Linked DNA regions of Drosophila melanogaster. The protein of the gene in region 2 purifies or fractionates together with the protein of the main gene of each other region. This does not show direct contact. Each region holds a gene or a part of one and is shown on either strand. Other genes may lie near its edges. The genes, in order: eEF1alpha1 and dwg.

Region 1 (13,317 bases), on a different chromosome or scaffold from region 2:
TGAATTTACTTGCCCTTATCAGCTATCGTACGGCCAAAGAAACGGTCAGGAAGTTGTCCGGACGGAGACAGCTACATTTGTGAGGGAAAAAAGCGAGTGGGTGCAACTGAGAGATGTTCATTTGAATTCGTTTAGTTTATTACTTAGACATTAGACGGTTAAAAAAGACACAAGCTACTGGACGCCGGTGACAACTTAAAACCTAATTCACATGCACGTTTGTTTACAAATTTTCCTAGAACAGTTCATTTACATAACTCGCTGGGAATGCTGTACAGATACGTGTGCACAGATACACAATTGCACGGATGTCGTCGCGGCATCGCTGGTTGTCAAGCTTCTTTCTACAAAACTTACACTCTACGCTAGATTATTAGATTCTCGTTTAGGGCTGGTTCTGAGATTTGTACACAGCATGCTTCTATTTACAAGACAGCAGAGTTTTGCGTTAAGTACAGTGGAATCTTTGAGTTTAGCACTAGATTATGAAATCTGCGAGGCGGGCGAAGGCGAGCCGTTCGTTCCTCACGACAGCGCCACCTCCAGACACATCATGATCAGGAAGCCGGATACAGTGCCCCACGTGGCGATCGTTCCATTTCCGCTGGCATGAGCCTCCGGCAGAATGTCGTCCGACACAATGTATATCATGGCTCCGGCCGCAAAAGACAAGGCGTATGGCAGGATCAGGTTGGCAAAGGTCACCGCCACGGCGCCCAGAACTCCAAAAATGGGCTCCACCATTCCGGACAGCTGTCCGTACCACAGAGCCCGCTTCACGCTGAATCCTGCGGCATGCAGTGGCAAGCTGACAGCCAATCCCTCGGGGAAGTTTTGAATGCCAATGCCAATGGCCAAATTGCGGGCGCTCTCAAATGTCGATGAGTTCGTGGAGCCAATGGCACCAAAGCTTACGCCCACAGCCAGCCCTTCTGGAATGTTGTGGACCGTGATGGCCACGACCAAAAGCATAATCCTCTTCCACTGGGACAGGGCGTCCTCGGCGCGCTGCTGCTCCTCAGGCGTGGTGTAGGTGCACTGCTCCATCTCGTTGATGCTAGCTCCCTTCTTTCGGCGTCTCGATTCGCCGCTGTGCTGCACGCTAAGGCAGTCGGAGAAGCTGTCCAGACTCTTTGAGGCCAACCTATCGGGGGCAACTCCATTGCGCTTAGAGTCCTCGATGGCTATGTCCGCCTTGGCTTTTGATTGCGTCATCTGGATCATCATGTTGGTGCTGTTAAGGCCCAGGTATGACATCAATTTGTCGCATCCGTAGACGAAGATCGATCCCAAGAGGAAGCCTCCAGCGACGGGCAGAAAGGCGTATACTCCGTACAAATGGGAACTCTCGGCCATTTCGATGGCCGGCTTGAGGAGTGACCAAAAGGAGGCTGCTATCATTACGCCAGCTGCGAATCCCAGGGCGGCGTCCAGAGACCTCCGCTGGTTACCCCGGACGAAGATCACTAGGGCGGCGCCAGCGGCGGTCAGTCCCCAGGTAAGCAGGGTGCCCAGCAGAGCCTGCGTGACGGGTCCATAGCCTGGAATCATCTTGCACAGTTAGAGCTGCTTTTCCGTGCCCGTCACCGGCTGGTATGGAATTGTACTCCCGAGATTTATTCGCGTGTACACAGACAGGGCGAACAAGTTTTCTTAATTGTTGCGCAGCAATTGTTTACCCGCCCACAGTTGGAAATGTGCCACGTTCTTGGGCACTGATTGCTGGGTAAACAAAACAACTGAGAACCAATTTCAATGGAGTTTTAGATTCTGTGTATGTTTCAAGGGAATCTCTGGAACACTTGTTGCTGCTTATCGTATTGTTTTTGCGGAATGCTATTGCGTTTCGGGCGGCGGGGCAATTTCGGGGGGACGCGTAATACTGACGGGTTGATAAAAAGGTCTACTAGCTCTACTAGAGCGCGTCGGAAAGTGATGAATGAGCCGCTGACTGAGCTGACAGCCCCACAAAAAGCAATTTTTATAGGGCCGCTGGCTGTGTGCCACGGCAATCGATAGTAGTGTTATCGCTGGCGTCTATCGATAGACGGCGGCCGCTAGGGATGGCACTCGCAAGGCGCATTTATTCAAAATTCGTTACCGAACTCTGCTACTAAATCATTATTGCTCACCTCGGATTTGACTTGTAATTTTATTAAATATCATTTGATATTCATTTAACGCATAAGCGAGCACTATCGATTGCGACTTGATGGAACCATCCTCTTGGGCAGCGAGATGGTCTCATTGTAGATAAGAAAGTTTTCTATTTAAACAACGGGCCAGATATCACGTAGTTATGAACAAATAAAACAGTGTTTTCTAGTCAACATGACTGAAAAAAGTCGGCAGCATCCGCAGCATCAACAATAACACCAAAGGGCATGAGCTTGCTCACCGTAGTTGCAGCTACGCAGCGTTAACTAATTTTAAAATCCCTTAATTCGCAGCGCGTTAAGTTCATGCAGCCGGACTCCGAGTTGAATCAGCGACCCCGCAAACGCCAAGGAACACCCACATCCTCCAAGGACAACGAGCCAGGATCGACTAACAAACGAGCCCAGACCGGAACTCCAACAACCACCACACCAAAGGTAATTGGGCTCAGTATTAAATATTACAAATATTTATTATGAAATTGAGATATTTGAACTTTGTAGGCATAATGAGCATAGTTCTATACAATTAAATTAAAATAATCGTATACTAATTTAAATAGATATGTGTATATGTGTCTGGTAAATATTTCATTAACATCAATTTGTATTGCATAGATAAATTTTAGGCCCCTTAAATGAGCAATTCTCAGTAGTCATTATCACTACAGTAGAATGTTTCTTTTGATTCAAGTATTAAAATGTTTTCTCTTTTCAGAATGACATCAGCCGCTTTTTCAGAGCCATTAACCACAATAAGCCATCGGATGATGAGGCAATAGAGTCGCCAGCCACCAAACTACTCAACAGGTGTGTTTTCTCAATAATATGCCTGTACAAAAATCTTGTCTGCTAAATAAATAAAATCTTTAACCATAGGATAAGCAGTGGATGCTACACTCCTTTGCCGGCCGGTGGCACTCCCCAGCTGATGGGAACCAATGGTAGTGGAGATGCGGTGGCCCAAAAGGTGCAGGCCCAAAAGAGTTTGCAATTTGGAGAGCAGACGGACAGCAATACCCCCCAGGCAAAACCATCGAGCACTTCACGCCCACGGCGGAGCACAGTGGATCCACCGCCGGTAATGACGCCACCAGTGCGCACCACTCGCCGTCGTAGCTGCGTAGCTGAAATCAGCAGTCCTGCTGCAACGGATACGAGAATGACCCGCCGCAGAAGTTCGCTACTCACTTCCACGGTTATTCACGAGGCCGATCCAACTCAAACCGCAGTTGCGGAACCCAGAATGACTCGTCGCAGGAGCTCATTGCTAGGGATTGCCAAACAAGCAGAAGAAACCGCCCAAAGGCAAACCATTCAACCCATAACGGAGGAGCTGGCTCCCGTTGAAGAGAACAGGAATTCTATAATTATGGCCGAGACCAATATAATCAACAACACCAATTGTCTTGAGCAATCAATTGAGATAACTGCCGTGGAGGCAGAAGCTTCTTTTAAAGCGGACAGACGTGGCACGCTCTATGCCTCAGAATTGATGGACATAAGTTCTCCTCGTCGGCGCAGCGTGGCCAAGTCGAGCTTAGAGTTGAGGCAGGAAAACTTAGCTCCGAGGGCCAGGCAGTCGCTCAGCAACGTGACTACTCAGACGTCCTTTTTAGACGTTGAGCAGCAAGTGACGCCGCTGTTCAGCTCCACACGACTGCCCACAGGCCAGACTACAGGAAATCGCAGGCGAACTATTTTTAACATGGACATGGACGTGATCAACGAGAGCATCGAAAGAATGAACCAGTCACATCGAATGTCCCTAGCCTTGGCCAATAAGGCGGAGCTGGGCGAGTCTTGCCAAGTCCATGAACAAGAGCCACCGCAAGCAGAGCCAGTCCCATCACAAGAGCCCAAAAGGCGGCGCCTTTTCAATCCAAACGACGAGGTGGTCATTTCGCCAGCGATGAGCAACAGAAAGAGTCGTTTGAGCATAACCGGATCCGGATCATCGAGCTCGGTGCAGAAGCGTCGACGCTCGCTAGCCACTCCCGCAAAGTCTTCATCATCAGAGTTGTGTGCCACGACTCCTCTTTCCAAAGCCGTCACAAACAAGGAGGCAGAAAAGTCCAAGAGCAATACAGAAATATCTGAGGCTTCGTTGGATGCCGTTCCGGAAGTGAAGAAATCTACATCAAACGCCGGGGAAGAGAATGAGAAACCAAAGGGCAAATCACGTACACGGATTCGCACGCTAGTCCACACCAACATGCACCAGGAGCAGATCAACGTCATCCGCAAGGTTGGTAATACGACGGAGTGACCAATATACCATCCACATCTCCCTCTGATTGTAACCGTTGTATAGCCAGTTTTGCAACTCCACTAATGGATTAGTTAGTAGTAAACCGTACTAGTTTGTAAATTAGCATATTCACAACTCGTTAATGGTCCCATATTAATTATTGATTAAGCATAAACAACACTCGGTAGATTGGTAGCGCAGTAACTCATTTGTAAAGCCTCCCGCACAGTTGAATAAACAATATCCGTGGCGGTTATAAATCCTAATCGAAAAAACCGCCTTCAATCCCAGGCCCTGCGCAAGTTACGCGGCATGCGGCTGGATCCAACCGTGACCCAGCACACCACCCACCTGGTTAGCCTGGAGCCGCGACGTACCCTGAATCTCCTGCGCGGATTGATGCGCGGAGTCTGGATAGTTAGCTACCAGTGGGTGTTGGCCTCCATTCGGGCTGGCAAGTGGATCAATGAAGAGCCCTATGAGCTGACCAGGTTTTCGCGTGCAATCGAGGTAAGCTCTATGCTTTCTCACCAGTAGCTACTTACTAACTCATTTCCGTTTCTAATCCTTCAGATTTGTCGTACAGAAAGGCAGGCCTTTGGCGTCCACTACCAGTGTGAGTTGTTTCGCTTTATGGAGCCCTTCTATGTGTCCTCCCTCTGCCGACCGGTGCAGTTCAACAATATGAAGGAGCTGCTCCTGCTGGGCGGTGCCACCCTGACCGAGAACCGCTTCAAGGCCAAGTACATCATCGGGGACAAGCGGCGCGCCGAGGACGATCGCGTCTATCTCGATCCTTACTGGGTGCTGGACAGCATCACGAATATGCAAATTCAGCGCTTTGGCAAATATCTTATGAAGAGCGCCATTATCTCGGCCGATGGGATCCGGTACGAGGATCCTAGGGATCGCGATGAGGACAAAACACAAAGAAGGCACCTTCACGACTTCGTCGATCCACCGTTTGTGCTGGACAAATAGAGATCAGTGGGTGCATCCACTTCACTTTACTAAATATTTAAGCTAGGACACACAGAGTACCATTTTCCCACACTGTTTCACCTTTTTGTGCAAATTACTCCAATGTAAATATAGTTATATTTAAATCCATATATGTATTTTACGATCTTAGTTTATTTTCTAGTACATTTTTTAATTTGTTTTTATACAGATTTTACGAAGGAAATAATATATCCCATAACTTTAAACAGAAATTATAAAAAAACACTTGTTCCAACTTCGTTCGTTATTATTTAAATAAATAAATCAATGCATTTTTCTCTATTTGCGATGAGAAATAAAAGCCCCCCCCCCCCCCTCAAATACAATAAAAAATATTCATTATTCTTCAGATGCAATTGCTTGCTTTATTTAAACGATTGAGGTATTTGTTGTCAGATTCAATTGTTGTACTCTTCGACTAGCTCTTGTTTGTACTTTGTGGCATCGACGATAAGTGAACTTGGAGTTAGGGACGATCGATCATGGCGCTGAAAATCGGGAGGCAACAAGCAAAGAGAGTGCTCTTTTACGGGCTGGGTGGTAAAAACAAAAGAAATACAAAAATAGGGTTTTTATTTTTTTTGTAAATATAGTTATCGCTTCTATTCTGGTTCTTTTCTTGTGTACAAAGTAGTGTGTGCAAAAGTAGGGTAAGATAAATGATACATATCAAAGTATAAAGGTTAATTTAAACGATATCATAAATGCTACAGAGGATTCCTATATATGATATGATAAAACGAAGTCAACTCCGTGCATCATACCATATTTAGTAAACTAAAGATCGACGGGGAAGTGGATGAGGAGTGGATGCATAAATGCAAGTGTTTTCCCAGTGTGCACTCTTATCCTTGGGATCCACCGTTTCCCAATTTAGGCGGCCTCGTCTGCATTTAGCATTCGTATCCGTCGAAACTCCTTTCGATGGAAGAAATTAAACTTATGCTTCTGCTGAAACATCATCTTATCGGTCATCTTGCGCAGGACAGGTGTTGGTGTTATACTACTATTGTGTTCGCTGCTGCTGTTGCTGGTATTATTGAGTGGTGTTGTTGGCTGCATTATGATGTTGGTTATATGCTTGTTGTTGCTGCTACTACTGCGTGTTGTTGTTGTTGTTGAGTGGAAGCAAACCAGCTACTTCTTGCCCTTGGTGGCCTTCTCGGCGGCCTTGGTGACCTTGCCACCGGAGGCATCCTTGAAGTTGACAGCCTTAATGACACCGACAGCCACGGTCTGCCTCATGTCACGCACAGCGAAGCGACCCAGAGGGGGGAACTCCTGGAAGGCCTCCACGCACAGGGGCTTAGAGGGCACCAGGTTGACGATGGCAGCATCGCCAGACTTGATGAACTTGGGGTTCTCCTCGGTGGTCTTGCCGGAACGACGGTCGACCTTCTCCTTGATCTCAGCGAACTTGCAAGCAATGTGAGCGGTGTGGCAATCCAACACGGGGGTGTAGCCGTTGGCAATCTGACCGGGGTGGTTCAGCACGATGACCTGGGCGGTGAAGTCGGCGGCTCCCTTGGGGGGGTTAGCCTTGGAGTCACCGGCAACGTAGCCACGACGCAGCTCCTTCACGGACACGTTCTTGACGTTGAAGCCAACGTTGTCTCCGGGAACGGCCTCCTGCAGGGCCTCGTGGTGCATCTCCACGGACTTGACCTCAGTGGTGATGTTAGCAGGGGCGAAGACCACAACGGTACCGGGCTTCAGCACACCAGTCTCCACACGACCCACGGGTACTGTTCCAATACCGCCAATTTTGTACACATCCTGCAGGGGCAGACGCAGGGCCTTGTCGGTGGGACGGGCTGGGGGAAGGATGGCATCGAGGGCATCGATCAGGGTCTTGCCGTCAGCGTTACCCTCCTTGCGCTCCACCTTCCATCCCTTGAACCAGGGCATGTTGGTAGAGGGTTCCAACATGTTGTCGCCGTGCCATCCGGAAATGGGCACGAAGGCAACGGCGGCTGGGTTGTAGCCGATCTTCTTGATGTAAGAGGACACTTCCTTCTTGATTTCCTCATAACGGGCCTCGCTGTATGGTGGCTCGGAGGAGTCCATCTTGTTCACACCAACGATCAGCTGCTTCACACCCAGGGTGAAGGCGAGCAGGGCGTGCTCGCGGGTCTGGCCGTTCTTCGAGATACCTGCCTCGAATTCTCCGGTTCCGGCGGCGACAATCAGCACGGCGCAATCGGCCTGCGAGGTACCAGTGATCATGTTCTTGATGAAATCCCTGTGTCCGGGGGCATCAATGATGGTCACGTAGTACTTGGCAGTTTCGAACTTCCACAGGGCGATATCGATGGTGATACCACGCTCGCGCTCAGCCTTCAACTTATCCAAAACCCAGGCGTACTTGAAGGATCCCTTTCCCATCTCCTGGGCCTCCTTCTCGAACTTCTCGATGGTACGCTTGTCGATACCACCGCACTTGTAGATCAAGTGTCCGGTGGTGGTCGACTTACCGGAATCGACGTGTCCGATCACGACAATGTTAATGTGAATCTTTTCCTTGCCCATGTTGGATGATTACACTATGGCTGTTGTGTGTATTCGAGTGTTGGATTGACGGAACGTTGGAACATTGGAAGGTTGCAGGGTTCGGCGGGTTGGCGAGCAAGAGAGGTTGGAATAAACAAAGGGTAAAACAATTCGTTAGCATTCGGTGGGATTACAACTACAATTATTAGTGGGTATAACACTTTCTCATTTCCCTAGCGTACGTTCGACTTTTGTTTGCATGCGCGAGCACAACCTAACCTCAAACTCTTGCAGCCGTACAAAACGTGTTTTTTGAGGTTAGGTCCAGTGCCCGCATGTAAGGGTGTGGGTAAAACGAGTGGGGCGCAACTACAGAAAAGAGCGTGCAAATAAAATTCCATATGGAAACTCGATTTTGTTTCAGTGATTTTGGTATTTTTGCTTTCGTCAACTGTCTTCAGTAGCAGAACTGAAAAATCATCATCATGTTAAATCGAAGAGTCCAAAGGAAAATTCCAGCAAATTTAATTCGCAAATACACATGTGCTTATCTGCCTATGCGTGTGTATATCTATGCCTGTGTATTTGTGTGACGCTGTTGCCGGCCGGAGGAAAAGTAAGAGAGGAATAGAGAGAGAGAGAGACCAAAATGGCGGATGTGCATTAGTGTGCGTGTGTGACTTGTACAAATGCAAGCGATCTCGCCGCGGTGGCACAATTGGTAATTGGAAAGAAATGAAAAAGAGAGGGGCACACAACGAATTATTCAAGAACGTAGTGCAGCGGCAGCCATTTTACCAAAACCAATTATGGAGTCGGTTGGAAATGGCGAAATAGCTGATGCGAGTGCCATTTCACCAGATATGCTAATGGGCTGGAAACCCAAAAAAGCACATTTTTTCGCTTGTTGCCAGGCGAATTTTTTTCGCCCACTTGACTCACGCCACTGGGTCGCCATTTTAGAATTCCATGCCGCAAAAAGAAAGAATAAGGAATATCTATAGGTCATGACAAAGGCAAGAGAGAAAGCACGTTTTTTTTTCTCGGTTAATGAGCACATCTGGTGGATGACCTCTGTGTCCGGCGTGGGCGTGGCAAAGTAATTACACACTAAGTGCACCATATTGCAGGGCGAAAATGCGGCCGGAAAAGCCGGAAAATTATTTTGAGAATGCTGGGAACTTTAACTGGGAACGCCAGTTAAAATTTTTGCCTTTGCAGACTTGCCACGTGTTTGCTTCTATGGCCACCTTTCACTTTGGAAAACCGCAGTTAGAGGTTATCTCCGGGTTTATTACACACACACAGGAAAAACACTGGAAATATGCACAAATTCGGCGTCTCAGCTGCATATTTGTTTATAAATTGTTTTCTGGCTGCAGTCCCGTTGCAGAAATTACTTAATTATAGCCTCGCAGGTAAAACTTACTCTCGAATAAGCTGAATGAGAAATCACGAAGTCTAAGCGGCGACGGATTCGAACAAAGTGAACGAGCGTTCGGCAGAGCTCAGCACAGGAAGCCTCGTTTGACACATGGTGTGACCGAAGCTACGCAACTGTCAAAAGAGCAGAAACCGTGTTCTCACTGCGGTGTTTCCACTACGCGCGAATGAAGCACTTCATTTTATTGAAATTTAAGTGATTGAAAGTGGCAAAATACAATAACCTAACGATTGAGGGATTTAAAAAACCTTGTTTGCTCGACATTGTTTTTATATGAAAAACTAAATAATCAGTGATTCCAAAAATATTTTCTACAAAACGATGTCTATAATTTCTATACGTAATATTGGAACACATATCTCTTAATATTTAAAAACTATAACAATTGCATTAGTAGTCCGCATTTTGAACTTTTAGACTAGAACCTGAACTTTAATTTGTATGTGAACCCTAACGTAATAGAACTTTAAATAACAATAGAAGCTTGAGATCGTTTAAATTTATGTAATACGTTTCATTTATTTATACATTTTTTGGCGTCCGTTGCTACAACTAAAATATGCTACAAATAAAACTATAAGTAATTTGGTATTGTATCAATTTATACAATATTGTAAAAATTTATAACTTAAGATCTCACGTTTTAATACTTTTTCTTCTGGAATTCATCAGAATGCTAATATTTATTTGAATTTGTAACTTACTGCTTAATATTTTTTGTTAGACTATTTTTTCACTCAGTTTTCACTTGTACTCAATAAATTTATTCATTGTGCATAGAACAAAAGTTGTTAGCCTGCCCCTTATATAGGACGCAATTAAAAGTTCCTAAGTGTTTTCCTAATTTTGTGAAATTAATTAATTAGTTATTAATAATATGATTATTGTTATGCTTGCGAAATCAGTTAACAATAAATGCAATTACCATCTTTTATGAAATGATAATTTGACAAAATTTTATTATAAATCGGTATCAATTAAATTAATTTAAATCTAGATCTCAACTTTTCTGTGTGACTGGAAAGAATTATAGCTAAAGCATTTAAAACCCACACATATAGACATTAGTCATTAATAAATGATGAGCCATCTTTATTTATTGTTTACATATGCAGGAAAGCTCACAACTGAGAGCTTTTTCCAACTTTAGACATTTTCGGCCTAGCCCCACCTGGCCACACTACGACGAAACAGAATAAGAAGCGACGTGGCGAAAGAGGCAAAAAGCGAATTCAATCGTTGAAAAATACCGAACCGGTCCGGTACTCAGTTTTTGTTGTAGAAGTAGGCGTTCGACGGCCTAGTTGAACTTGAATTATTCACCGATATCGCTTCAAGTGAACCCAAATAATGATGTGGCGCCTTGCTGGAGTGCTCCTACTAGGCTTCATCGCCATCTCGTCCGGAGCGGAGCAGGATGTCCTGGAACTGGGGGACGACGACTTTGCCACCACCCTAAAACAACACGAGACGACGCTGGTCATGTTCTACGCCCCCTGGTGAGTTAGTGAGTGGGCGTGGCCGGGCGCCATCCTACAACAAATGCATTGCGTGTGCGATTCGCGTATAATCCGCTTGTTGCGTCCGCAACTTAATTCGATTCCCAATGCCCAGTGCCGACCGATGCCCGATTTTCCGGCCATCGCAAGCGCAAAGTACACGTCAGCGTTTGCCTTGCTTTTGCCGGCAAATAAAGAAGGAACGAGTGACGGAACGAAACGAGACGCAAAGAGAGGGGCAATGATGATATGCCAGTATTGGTGCCGTCGGCCATTTTAGAGCGCGGGGTGCCAAAGTGCCTAGTTGGTACAATTTCCGTGCAATTCCTGCTCCACTTGTCCACTGGCTAATGATAGTGAGCAGGCATAGGGGCCCCAGTGTACATAGCGCATCTTTTATTATAGTTTCTTATGCCTATGCATTATACCCATAATCCCAGGAATGTGTAATTCTAAGGGTTAACTTAGATTTAGCTTGAAACTGGTTATCATAGTCTGAAACACTCACAGTTCTCATACAAATGTAATTTCCCAACAGTTTACACCAACCATATTAAAACTTCAATTTTAATTGCCTGCCTACTCACAAAAGTTATGCTGATTGTGCTATAAATTTCTCATGTCAGTAGACACATTTTTAACTTCCATCGTAATCCACACTGAACACAATAACCTTTTAATACATTTTTGTTTAGTACATAACACATATTTACTGTGCCTATTTACTCTCTTTTGAGCCATTTGTTTGCCCATTATCAGGGGTAAACTATAAGCTCACACTTGGACAATGAACTAGGTAAATTATTAGCGTTTTTTTTGCCGGCCGGCTTTCGAAATCCCCAAAGAGCTGTTGAACTACTTGGCATGGAGACTTGATTCCCTCATGACGAACCTTATCAGTATTCAAGCATAAATACACAGGGATGAAGTTGAAAAAGTTGTACACTGCAATAAAACTGCTCTTTTCATTATAACATAGTTAACTTAAGGCATCACTTATCTTTATCAAAAATGAATTATTATCTGCACTGCTAAGAGTGCAGACTATACTCTGCTGTTTCAAATAAGTACCAAGTCGTTTTTCTCTCTGTATGCCTAATGGGCACTTGTACTTGTGTGATAAGACAGTTGATAATTCCAGCACCCTTACTTTAATTACAAGCTAGTTTTTTGGGAACTTGTCTTCCCGTTGCCTTGATAACAAATGATGAATTAGATAGTATTGTTACCAACATAATGTTTAAGTGACGTGTCCTAACAGAGTGTTTTTTCCTGTTTAAGGTGCGGCCACTGCAAGCGATTGAAGCCCGAGTACGCCAAGGCGGCGGAGATCGTGAAAGACGATGATCCGCCAATCAAACTGGCCAAGGTTGACTGTACGGAAGCTGGAAAGGAAACGTGTAGCAAGTACTCCGTCAGCGGCTACCCAACGTTGAAGATTTTCCGTCAGGATGAGGTGTCGCAGGACTACAATGGACCACGCGAAGCCAGCGGCATTGCCAAGTACATGCGCGCCCAAGTGGGACCCGCCTCCAAGACCGTGCGCACCGTTGCCGAGCTGAAAAAGTTCCTGGACACCAAGGACACCACGCTGTTCGGCTACTTCAGCGACAGCGACTCCAAACTGGCCAAGATTTTCCTGAAGTTCGCCGATAAGAACCGCGAAAAGTACCGCTTCGGACATTCAAGCGAAAAGGAAGTCCTCGATAAGCAGGGCGAAACGTAAGTGGGAGGCTCTAATCAAGACTCGTACATCTGTGTATTATGTGTTTTTCGTTTTATATATTTTCTAAGTGTTAATAAACTAGAGCCTAGTTGGGATTTTCATATTTGTTTAAATGTAATGAAAGGTTCATCCATTTCATTGTTCATTTAACTTGCTCCAAAGTTTTCTCCAAAAAGTTTCCACTTTTAGGTTTTTATGTTAAAATGTGTTAATGTAAGTAATTAAAATATCTGTGATGCTTTTCAATCCGTTCCAGCGACAAGATTGTGCTTATTCGTGCCCCCCATCTGAGCAACAAGTTCGAGTCATCTTCCATTAAGTTCGAGGGTAGCTCCGAGTCCGATCTGTCTACCTTTGTCAAGGAGAACTTGTAAGTAGTTTGGAAATGTTGTTACCTTCTGGCACATGTCCACTATTATTGCTCTCTACTCCAGCCATGGTCTTGTGGGACACCGCACTCAGGATTCGGTCAAGGATTTCCAGAATCCTTTGATCACTGCCTACTACAGCGTGGACTACCAGAAGAACCCCAAGGGAACGAACTACTGGCGCAACCGTGTGCTCAAGGTGGCCAAGGAGTTTGTGGGTCAAATCAACTTTGCGATCGCCTCCAAGGATGACTTCCAGCACGAGTTGAACGAGTACGGCTACGATTTCGTTGGCGACAAGCCAGTGGTATTGGCTCGCGACGAAAAGAATCTCAAATACGCCCTGAAGGACGAGTTCTCAGTGGAGAATCTGCAGGACTT
Region 2 (11,432 bases):
CCGGAAATTCCAGAGCGTCGTCATCGCCAGGCGATTGTGCCGCGCCAGCTGAGCGGCGAGTTTTCGCCCAAGAAGGATAAGCCGAAGGAGAAGGGGCTGGCGGTGATGGCCCTGATCTCGCCGCCATTGCAGCAACCCAGGGTGCGTCCTCCGTTGCGGGAATGCCGTCAGCAGAGGGTCTATAGCGGCGTGCAGGATGTGGGCGAGCCGGAGGTCGTGGACGCAGAAGAGGAGGACGAGGTGTTCCGCCCCACAAACGCCTCCACGTGCAACGACAAAAAGCTGGAGGCGCCCAACTCCGGTCGCCTGTGGTCGCTGATGAGTTCCATGATGCGACTGCCGGCCAGCTTGCGCGGCGAACGCGAAAAGGACAGGGACAGGGACAGGGATTCGGATAAGGAGAACGCTGGTTCGGGCTCACTCATCCGTCGCTGCGCCTCCATCGCTGGATCCCTGGTGCGCCCCAGTGCAAGGGACTCCTCCATGGAGGACCAGCAGTGCCTCAAGAGAAAGCGCACTCAGACGCTGGACAGCCAGTACTGTAGCCCGCTGTCGCCGTCCAGCTCCTCGAAGCGCTACCGCATCCGGCCCAGGGAGCCCATCGAGCGCATGCGTCGCCAGTAGGTTTTAAGCTTTTGCCTGCGAATCTGTGTTTTAATTGTGAAATTCTTCTTTTTTTTTATCGTTTAATAAATGTTTGGTCTTGCATTAACCGTTATGCGCAGCAGGAGTTGGCAGGTCCAGGAGCTTAGCTCGTCTCATTCAGAGCTGCCAACTCTATCTATTGATTCTGTTATTAATTAGTTGCGCACAAGATCGAAAAGCTTAACGGAGCGCCCATGGCGAAATCACAAGCAGGTCAGACTGTCGAGCCGGAGGCGTCCAAGCTGTGGATCCACTGCAACAGCTGCTGCGCCCTGTTCTGCGATAAGAAGCACACCTTCTTCCTGCTCGCCTGCCATCACGTGTTCTGCGAGCGGTGCGTCAAGGTCTCCGCCGGCCGCACGCCCAGCGACGCGCCCATATTCGAATGCTCCACCTGTCGGCGGAGCGTGCGCGGCCGCCAGTTGACCAACTCGATGCCCAACCACTTCAAGCAGCTCTTCCATCCGGAGCCCTTCACCATCGGCAACGACTTTGTGGAGACGTTCCAGCGCGGCAATCATCGGCACTTCGACAAGTACAAGGAGAGGAAGGAACTGGAGATGGATAAGCTGTTCAAGGACATCGAGGTGGCCAAGTCCGTGTGCCAGAAACGCTTCCTGGAGGCGCAGATGCTGCGCGTGGAGCGCAAGAAGCTGATGCAGAGGTCGCGCTACATTAAGGCGGAAGTCGCCAATCGGAAGGCGGAAATGCATCGGTGCGACATTTGGATTCCATTGAAAATAGTTCCCATTAATGCATTATATTTCTACCCGCCTTAGGATGGCCCAGGCCTACCGAAGCCGCTCGCTGACTTCGCAATCCTCGTCATCCGCCCAACGCTCGGCGCGCGGACGTCCTCGTGGCCGTGGAACAGCCACACAGTCCTCCAGTCGACGCCGATCAACGGAATCAGCAAAGCGGCAGCAAATCACCAGCTTCATACACCCGCCGAACAACTCGTTCGATCTGTGAGCTAGTGCTGATAGGTAAAGCTCTGTTTTACAACCGAGTATATATTTTTTGTAAATAATCAGCTTAAAACAATAAAATGGTGTCATAAGCTTTAAAATAATAAACTGCTAAGTTAACAGCGACCGTTAAGTTTCAATTAACAGTTTCGTTAGGATAACAGAAGTGTTGAAAGTGAATTCGATTAATCGAAATCCATCGATGACTGCTGCACCGATAATATCGCATAAGCATCTGCTCTAAAAACGCATAAAAATTGAATTGCAAGAAGTAGAAGAGCGAAACGTCATAAAAGCGGCAAATCCGGCGCTGTCCGACAAGAACCACAGGGGAAAGCGGATAAGGACATCATGATGAATAGCAAGATCGCCGAGGTAGTGGTGCTCAACTGCCGGACGTGCACGCGTGCCTGCAAGCTGCACAAGCCGCTGCAGGAGGAGATCGATCTGGGTTCGGAGGGCAGCACCACGCTGGCCAGCATGCTAAACTACTGCACGGGACTCTCGTTCGAGCCGCAAGACGGCGCCGCCATGCCGCAGCACATCTGCCTCCACTGCCTGCAGCTGCTGGAACAGGCGTTCAACTTCAAGCGCATGGTCATCGATTCGGACGAGCTGCTCCGCCTGGGCCTGGACGAGGCGCGCTGCTCCAGCTTTCACGAGAGTCAGACTCATAGCCCCAACCAGAGCCAGCAGCACGACCAGCAACAGCAGGCGTTCGACTCCACCGAGGAGTACGTCATGATCGAGATGCTCAACGAGGAGCAGGAGAACGTCGCCAATGTAAGTATCTATCACTTCACGGTGCAATGGAATGCAATGGTTCTTGTCCACTCCCATAGAGGATTAACGATTGCTCACAGCGGGCACCAGTCACTCAAATCGATTCACTTATATTGTGGCTCTTTGGGATGTAGTAGGGTAGGTCGGTGCCAAAGGAGTGCAACCTGTACCTCCATACAATGGATAACTTGTCTGCTCTTGGTGACACTACGTCTAAATAGGAGATGGGCTTCATCAAGTCTAACTCCAAAGTAAAACCATAACACCTTCTTCATCCGCAGTTGGATGAAGAACTAGCAGAGGAGGATCGTCGCATCTTCGCGATGACCGTGGATGAGGAGGAGGAGTTTCTCACCGAGGAGGTGGATCAGGATGACGAGCTGTCGGAGGAGGAGCACCAGCTGGCACAGTCGGGCGACCAGCAGGAGGAACACATCACTATGGAGAGCGTGCATGAGTTTCAGCCCGCCGAAGTGGAGTATGTGACCATTAAGAATGAGTTCGAAACGATCGTCACGGAGGAGGATGAGTTCGAGGTGATGAACGACTCCGGCGCCCACGACGCCATACTGGACTGTCAGATGATTGTGATACCCGCCGAGGGAGCCATTGACGAGGTCATCGGCGAGGAGACCCTCGAATTGGAGGGGGATGGGCGCGAGGAGCATCTGGTGAGAAAGGTCAAATTATATTGCACTAGAATACCATTTATCCTCCATTCACCTACACACAGCTGCCGGAGGCGGAGGATGTCTGCGAAGATGAGGACTTCCTGGAGGAGTCGCTGGACTCAGCGCCGCCGACCGCTGGCGAGGCGCTGCCGTACGTGTGCACCGTGTGCCAGAAGGCGTTCCGCCAGCAGTGCCGTCTCAACCAGCACATGCGCTCCCACGTGGACGAGAAGCAATACGAGTGCGAGGAGTGTGGCAAGCGTCTGAAGCACCTACGCAACTACAAGGAACACATGCTGACACACACAAATGTCAAGCCGCACCAGTGCAGCATATGCGGCCGCTTCTATCGTACCACCTCCAGTCTGGCAGTGCACAAGAGAACTCATGCGGAGAAGAAACCCTACAACTGCGATCAGTGCGGCCGCGGATATGCGGCGTTCGATCATCTGCGGCGCCACAAGCTCACGCACACGGGCGAGCGACCATACGCCTGCGATCTGTGCGACAAGGCCTACTACGATTCGTCCTCGCTGCGCCAGCACAAGATAAGCCACACCGGCAAGAAGGCTTTCACCTGCGAGATCTGCGGCGTGGGACTGTCTCAGAAGTCGGGCTACAAGAAGCACATGATGGTCCACAGTGGCGTCAAGGCGCACAAGTGTGATGTTTGCGGGCATGCCTTCACCTTTACCAGCAACCTCAATGCCCATGTTCGCCTCCATTCCGGCGAAAAGCCGTTTAAGTGCGAGGTCTGCGTTAAGGCCTTTCCCACAAAGAAGCGACTGGCCAGTCATATGCGCGTCCACAACAAGGAGTCGCCGGTGACGGCCACCGTTGCTGTTCAGTCCATCAATCCTCCCAGCCGACAAGCGGGCGCAGAAGGTGCGACAGGCGGAGGTGCGACAGGTGGAAGTCCGACCGGTGGAGGTGCGACCGGTGGATCGGCAACCAACCTTCACATAACCGAAGTTCATGAGCAGCCGGTGTCCACCTCCAAAGTGGTGATGGTGCTGTGAGCGGCCACCAAGCCGTGGGAGCGGCTCTAGAATGTAAGCCTAGGCTAAGGATTAGACACTTAGTTCAATAAAACTGATTTTTGTTCCAGAAAAAACTGAAAGAAAATTCGACACTTATTTTTTACATACATAAAAATAATTTTGTTTTCACGATAACTATCTCAGCAGGTTTAGCCACTCTTATCCATCAATTGTGATTAGATAACGCACAGCAAGTTCTCCACTTTCGTAACGAAACACATGGATGTCTTGTTTTTGGTTTTACGGTTAAGTCGTCTCTTTATAATAATAATATTACGATTAAATTGCCAAAAAACAAAAACAAGCAAGTTTAGTTATTCAATAAAACAAAAACATGCGCCTCGTCTTTTCCCAAAGGAGCAAAAGACAGAGCGTGCCTCCCAATCCTGCTGTCTGCTGTCTGCTACTGCTTCCCACTAACTACTCCAAAAGTCGACGAAAAATATGGCCAGTGTGCTGCTGCAGGGCGTGTTTGTTGCTCCGGCGCAGGCGGAAGGTTAAGGTATGCGTATGGAACGGGTTGTGCGGTATGGCCAGCCTCCTAGCGGCCGAGAATGTTGCGCGACCACTGTTTGACCATTGGCTTGGTCTTGGACTGCTCGATGCGTTCCGCCTCCAGCATTTGTTCGGCCAGCTTGCGCTGGTTCTCCCGGAACTGGTTGATGGGATCGTCGAACTGGCGATAGTAGTGGAGCACCTCGCGCACGTCGTCCACGTTGTTCTGCGCAATTACTGTAGCGAATTGCAAGGGTCAGTGTTTAGCTTTCAATGTCACTTGTGGCGCAACTTACTCTTTAGGAAAGCGATAAGGTCCAGCAGTTGGCCATCATCGTCGTTGCCATGCCAGCGGGCCAAGCCGAATGTGTTGTCCGGATGCATCTTGGTGGCATTCGCATCCCAGTCCACAACAATCACCTAAAATACTCCCTTCTTTATAGATGATTGCAATAGAAAATACGTTGTGCATGACTTGCCTTCTTGAGGTCGCGATTAAGGTTGTCCAGGTTCTTCACATGATGGCCGTCCACAAAGTGCGTGGCATCCCTGACCAGGCGGTACATAATGTAGCCGTTGGGATCGAGGGCATCCAGGATGGGGAACACGGTCATGCCCTGTTCGGCGGTGAAGACGACAATTTCAAAGTCCTTGGCGCACTCGGCCAGAAAGTGGTCGACGCCGGGACGCTTCTTGAAGCGCCAGCCAGTTTGGTAAGTCCAGTCCGGATGCACCAGCACGTCCTTCATCTCCAGCACAAGCGTGTAGCGCGGCTGCACGTACGGCGGCTTGAGCGGATCGGGCAGCAGTTTGGCGCGCGACGGCTCCTGGATCATGCGCTGATAGTAGTGAATGCTCTTCCACATCCGCTGCAGATACTGCTGTACCAGCGGCTTGTGTGTGAACTCGTCCTCGATGGGCTGCCCGTTGGGGTCCACCTCGGGCTTGCCGAACTCGTAGACGGCCCAGAATCCAGCAGCCACGGCGCTGCCTCCGAATATTGCAAAGCTGCAGCAGGAAGTATTGTTATAATACTGTTACGCATTGAATGGGCGTCAGCTTACCCCAGCTTCATGCGCTTCCAGGCACGCTCGTTCTCCTTTTCCTCCTCCTCCTCGCGCTTCTTGCGCTCCTGCTCGGCGTTGCTGTCCACCTCCGGCGAGGTCTGAGGAAAGAGCTTGGCCAGCAGCGGGGCATTCGGTGCGACCTCGGGCGCATCATTGGGGCCAGTGGCTCCAGCTTCCTGCTCTGCGAAACGAAAGTGGCCAAGGATGAATGTTTAGGACTCTACTGTTTAGGACTCTACCGTGAATCACTTACTGGTTGTGCTGCTGTAGCCACGCGCTGTGTGCAGGATCGAGAAGAGCGCCGGAGCAGCCGCTGGCAGTGCTGTGCAAGTGAATAGTCGGAGGTACTGCTGCTGGTGGTGGAGGAGGTGGTGCTGGTGCTGGTAGTGTTGGTGGTAGTGGTGGTAGTGATTACCCAATGCGCGGTGCTGGTGGATGTGGGTAAGAAGACGCGGCGTGCTAAGGCCGCGCAGCAACTGGAGGACGGTGGCCGGTGCCATGCTCATGCTCATGCTTCCCCCTTCCTTCCCGATATCGAGTCCTAGAGCCGTTCACGAGTCCTGCTCGGATGGCAGCGACTTTTTACTTATAAAAAATTCCAACAAAAATTTCAACTTCCCACCGGCACGGCGTTGGCGTTAGGGATTTTATATACTGTCCACTGCCAGGCGGCACCAGGCGTTAGTACATTTAGCACGTGGCTCTCAGCAGGTATAGATCGGCGATTTTCAAGCCAAATCTGGCGGGATTTTGCAGATAACTGCGTGTGTACATATGTTGCCTCCGGCAATCTGACTAATCACAGTATTAAGAAAATTTTAAATTAAAATATTTTAAATAATATGGAAATACACAACCTTTGACCAACCACCAAGCCACTGTGCCTCTGGTCACTTCCAAGCTGATGTGCCTGGCTAGCTATTTTGAGTGCCACCACTAACGCATCAGCTGGACTTTGGCATCACTGTTCGGGACGCTAAATTAAGTTATTTATTTAAACGTGTATTATCTACTGTCGAGTTCAATCCATGACGACCATGTCGCCGCCGTCCCCCATGGACGCCTTGTGCCGCGTGTGCCACACAGCATCGCCGCGCTGCCTGCCGCTCTTCAAACCGCTCGACGATCCAATTTCCGGCAAACCAGCGACGCTGGCCAGCATTTTAAGCTACTGCAGCGGTCTGGAGATCCTAGAGGCGGAGCTCTTCCTGCCCCACCACATCTGCCCGGACTGCGTGGCCAAGTTGCGGCTCTCGCTGGAATTCAAGCGGAGTGTCCATCGCATGGACAGAATTCTGCGGCAGAGTCATGCGGACTTTTGCCGCAGCAAAAAGATCAGCGCGGTGAATACTAGGGCCAGGCTGTCAACCGAGATTCCGGAGGATTTTGTACTCGTGCTCGATGACCAGGAAGTGACTGAATATCCAGCAGAAACGATACGAGATGAGGAGCAACTCCTGGTCGTAGAATCAGATGAGGCGGAGAGCCGGCTGGAAGCGCCAATTGTACAGGAGGAGAGGCTGGATATTGCACTGGAACAGCACGAAGACGATCTCTGCGAGATTGTCGACGATCCGGATCCGGAGCAACGTAGGAGCAGGTTAGAAAGATCCGAGCCAGCGCTGCAATGTCCCGTGAGTTGCCTTTCCGAATTAGAAGTAAGTAATCACGAAATAGTTTCCCATCTTCGGCAGATTTGCGGCAAACAACTGGCTAGGAAGCGGACCTTTCAGTACCACATGAGGCTACATGGCCAGCCAAAAATTCGCCAAGAAGACAACGACCACTGCATTGAAGAGTGCCTCCAAGTGGAGCCCGTTTTGCAGGCCAAAGCTGGCGAAGATGTCTACGAGATTGTGGAGAAATCAGCACAGACTTCGGCGACGCAGAAAACTTTGCCCAGTGGAAGCCGGCCTTGGAAACCCCTCAATCCCTCCCTACAGTGTAAAGTAAGTTGGTCATCGCAGCTCGCAAATAACTCAAAGCCGAAGGTCATCAATTCTCCCTCCATTCCTTTAGATCTGTGGCAAGCAACTAAGCACCAACAACTCCTTCAAGTACCATATGCAGCTACATGGCACGGCCACGCCCTACGTTTGCACAATCTGCGGAGAGTCCTTTAAGACGCGAAACGCCCGCGACGGCCATGTCACGCTGCACGATCGTAACAATCCGAACAGGTGCCCCACCTGCTTCAAGGTCTACCGGCAGGCGTCCTCGCTGCGCACACACCTTCTAATCCACAGCGGAATCAAGCCATTCGAGTGCAGCATCTGCGGCAAGAGGCTAACACAGAAGTCGGGCTACAAGAAGCACATGCTCACCCACACGGGCGAGAAGCCGCACGGCTGCGACATTTGCGGCCGTCGCTTCCGCTACTCGAGCAATCTGATTGCCCACAAGCGCTGCCACAGCCAGGAGAAGCCCCACCCGTGCCCGGTGTGCCAGAAGCGCAGCTTCGGCAGCACATCCGAGCTCAACCGCCACATGCTCGTCCACAGCAGCGAGCGACCGTTCGGCTGTGAGCAGTGCGGCAAGTCCTTCAAGCGCCGCATCTCACTCGCCATCCATCGCCAGTCGCACAAGGCGGGCAGACAGCGGAGGCGGGCCGAGCATGAAGTGGGTGTCCAACTGGAGGAGCAGGACGAGAATGTGGAGACCTGAAGCTAGATCGCTTATACTATCGGCTTAATGTACAAATCGGGACATTTAGTTTTAGTTCAATTCGCTTTTATTTTCGGTACTTTCCTTCGCACAATAACAAGTTTTAAGTGTGTTCCTATTGTTAGGATAAATTTGATTGGTTTTCCCACCCAAAATAATGCGTGTTTCATACATACATATATATTATATATGGTCAACAAACATTTCGAGTCTTCTGACGATCCTTTCGATTTGATTTAATGTAATGAGCTTTAGTTTATCAGGTGGAGGCGGGAGAATCTCTATACATATGGAAGTTTCGATTGGGTTTTGTAGTTGATAGTGGCTAAGGGTGAGGGTGCGGGTGCGGGTGTGGGGACCTTAAGCTAAGCTACTATGCTGCATTGAACTTACGCGCTAGAAACCAATTAGAGTAGTGCGGAACGAGTGTGCGAGCGGGTAACAAACAAAATGGGGCTGGGAATTAAAAGTGTGGATTGGGAGCTACGCGTTACGCTGCCGCGCGATACATAAAGTTAATGTATAAATAAATATATATGTTCAGACAATGTGAGTGCTTGCTAATACTTGGCATACATAAAATGAGTATAGATCACAAAAAGTCGCGTAAAAACATAAATGTTAGTGGGTATAACGTGGGTGGGTGGGATGAGTGAGTAATGAGTAATATCAGTGGGACATGAGGCTTGGAGGCACACGTGGCTTTCCTTTCCATCGTCCAGCTTGGACGACTCTCATCTCAAGATCCGGACTTGGGTACACAAACGAAGAGGACACGACCGGATTGCCGCAGTGGCCACTGCTAATCTTTCTCCTGCTGCTGCAGCAGGGCGGCGATTTCCTGGAACTTGTGCCGAAAGTCCACGCTGCTCTCGCTGATCACCGACATGCTTGACGACGGATCCTGTGGATTAGGTTAGAGGTCGGTCCACAATGAATGTCGCAAGTGGGGAGTGTGGCATGCGTTCTGGCTTACCAGTATATCCCTGGTGGCATCAATCTCATCCAAATGCCCCAGCAGCGACGTCAACGAGAAGTCATTGATATTGTCCTCCAGCCAGCGTGCGTTGGATGTTGAATCTCTGAGCAAGTGCATCGGACTCATGCTGCCTTGGAAGAAGCTTTGAGCTGCCGCGAAGAAGATAATATAAAATTTATACAAAAATGAAAAGCGAAAACATGCTGATGCTCCTACTTGTGCTCCCGTCTTGGGCCGCCTCGTTCAGGGAACTGCTGACGTCCGTCCTGTTGGTGGCCACGCAAATGTCCAGATTGGGCATGTCTCGAGCGCTGACCTGCGTGGCCTCGTCGTTGAGGAACTCCAATGCCCCCTGATCCCCTGGCTCTTGATCCTGTGAAGCGGTCGTGGCATTCATGCTGGAATCGGGTTTCGAGCCAGAGGTGCTGATGCCAGCGGAACTTATGCCATCCACGCGATCAATCGGCTCGAAAAGGCCACTGTGGAGTTGGCGCACACTCAGCAGATCGTACGGACGATCGCCAGCGGATGTGGGTGGTAGGAGACGGCGCTGCACAAGCACCTGACGACTGATCTTTTGCCGTGTGAGCTAGAATGCACGCAATGAATGCAAATCAATTGGGATTTGGGTAACGCCAATAAGGAAAGACCACTTACCGCTGAGAGTTGGCGCACAGGATCGATGTTGGATATCGGCCGCCGCACTGGCAGCATCGGCGTTCGGAAATTGCCCTCAACCATGCCGCCCACTCCGCCGGTGGCCGTCGCCTCTGCCAGCTGCTGCGCCTTGGTCATCAGGTCCCGCTTGCGATCGCACGTGTGGCCGCAGTTGCATTGGCGCTTGCGCACGCGCTCGCTGAGATTGGCCACGAGTAGCAGGTGCTTCAGCTTGTTGCTCACCGACGATGTGGTGACGGCCCTGACGCGTTCCACGCTATCACAGTCGTTGGGATTGTAGGGCAGCGAAGTGCTCGAGGTGCTCGAATTGCTCGATGCGCTGACGTAGCAGTTGGAAGATGCGCCTGTTTGGTTGGCGTTCGAGGCGGCGCTGCCGGTTTGGGTGGCCACCGACGAGGAGCTAGGCGTTACCGTGTTGATTGTTAGTATGCTGGATGCCATGGCCGTCGAACTGTCGACCTCACACCAATAATACTCCAGCTCCAGCTTGGAATCCTGGCCAAAAACGACATACAGATCACCGATGGTTATATCCGCCGCATTCGCCTGCGTCCAGCCCTTGCGGATTCTCTTCAGTATATCGTCGCTGAGCAGTGGCTTAAAATTTCGAGCCTGTGCCGCGGCCGCCGCCTCCTTAGCTTCTTTGCGTTTGGAGCGGGCTACGGATGGAGCCGCCAAAGAACCGGTTACAGGAGTCGAAGGAGCGGGAGCTGCAGCACAGGAAGTTTGTAGAACAGATGTCGCCATGGCATTAGATAGATCCGCGTTGGCCGGATAAGCCTGTTGTACAGGATCGTGCGATGTTTCAAGCGCAACAGCAACAGTTGTGGTATCACCAGTGGTGGCCGAAAGAGCTGGAATAGTGGCTGCTTGCGGATGCTGCATGGCCTCCAATATATCGCCCAGAAACTCATGAATCTCCTCGCCCAGCTCATCACCGCTGCTATTCTCCATCTTCATCAGATTGCCCTCCAAGGGCCCGTCGTCCAAACTCTTCTCCAGCGGCGGGCTGGCACTCGATTTGGGTTTCTTTGTCTCCGGCGAACGCTTCTCGGAGCCGCTTTCCGTTCGTAGTCGCTTGTTGGCCGCCACCGACATGCCGGCCAAATTGCCCAAGGTCTCGCTGCGCACTTTGAAGCCCATGCGCTCCTCGTATGCCGTCAAGCAAATACTGATGCTGCTTAGGTAGGCGGTGATGCTGAGCAAAGGTCGGTGGATGGCCACTCCCGGCCGGGGCTGGAAGCACATTGAGGGATCCAGCGATGCAACTGACGGCTGTAATGGTTCCGTTTCATTGTTGTTGTTATTGTTGTTGGACGCAGCAGATGGCAGGCTGCTGGAAAAGTATGCACTCTTCTCCTCGTGCAAACGCTGATTGGCGCTGCGCCATTTGTACTCGAACGTCTTGATGAAGCTGATTAGTTTCTTGTGCAGCGGAACTA

What was found.
Region 1: the proteins of dwg (region 2) and eEF1alpha1 purify together in Drosophila melanogaster (affinity purification with western blotting; one study listed by BioGRID). This does not show direct contact.

The regions. Positions count from the first base shown.
Region 1 is NT_033778.4:11,888,196-11,901,512, reverse strand, and holds eEF1alpha1 (eukaryotic translation elongation factor 1 alpha 1), read right to left. Parts: upstream 10,379-13,317; 5' UTR 10,269-10,378; intron 10,118-10,268; exon of another isoform or gene 10,048-10,117; intron 9,392-10,047; exon of another isoform or gene 9,329-9,391; intron 8,391-9,328; exon of another isoform or gene 8,318-8,390; intron 7,972-8,317; exon of another isoform or gene 7,959-7,971; 5' UTR 7,939-7,958; coding exon 6,547-7,938; 3' UTR 5,993-6,546; downstream 1-5,992. Other genes in the region: Zip48C (Zinc/iron regulated transporter-related protein 48C), read right to left, coding at 526-1,551; MCPH1 (microcephalin), read left to right, coding at 2,451-2,594, 2,875-2,966, 3,036-4,404, 4,699-4,917, 4,981-5,388; ERp60 (endoplasmic reticulum p60), read left to right, coding at 10,694-10,842, 12,124-12,564, 12,825-12,938, 13,003-13,317. UniProt on the Drosophila melanogaster protein: This protein promotes the GTP-dependent binding of aminoacyl-tRNA to the A-site of ribosomes during protein biosynthesis.
Region 2 is NC_004354.4:2,725,868-2,737,299, forward strand, and holds dwg (deformed wings), read left to right. Parts: upstream 1-1,830; 5' UTR 1,831-1,964; coding exon 1,965-2,396; intron 2,397-2,677; coding exon 2,678-3,067; intron 3,068-3,129; coding exon 3,130-4,086; 3' UTR 4,087-4,175; downstream 4,176-11,432. Other genes in the region: fs(1)Ya (female sterile (1) young arrest), read left to right, coding at 1-624; vilya, read left to right, coding at 840-1,360, 1,425-1,617; ttm50 (tiny tim 50), read right to left, coding at 4,649-4,839, 4,899-5,022, 5,082-5,610, 5,667-5,850, 5,923-6,181; CG2712 (uncharacterized protein), read left to right, coding at 6,698-7,303, 7,364-7,618, 7,689-8,333; crm (cramped), read right to left, coding at 9,136-9,237, 9,310-9,461, 9,529-9,901, 9,970-11,432.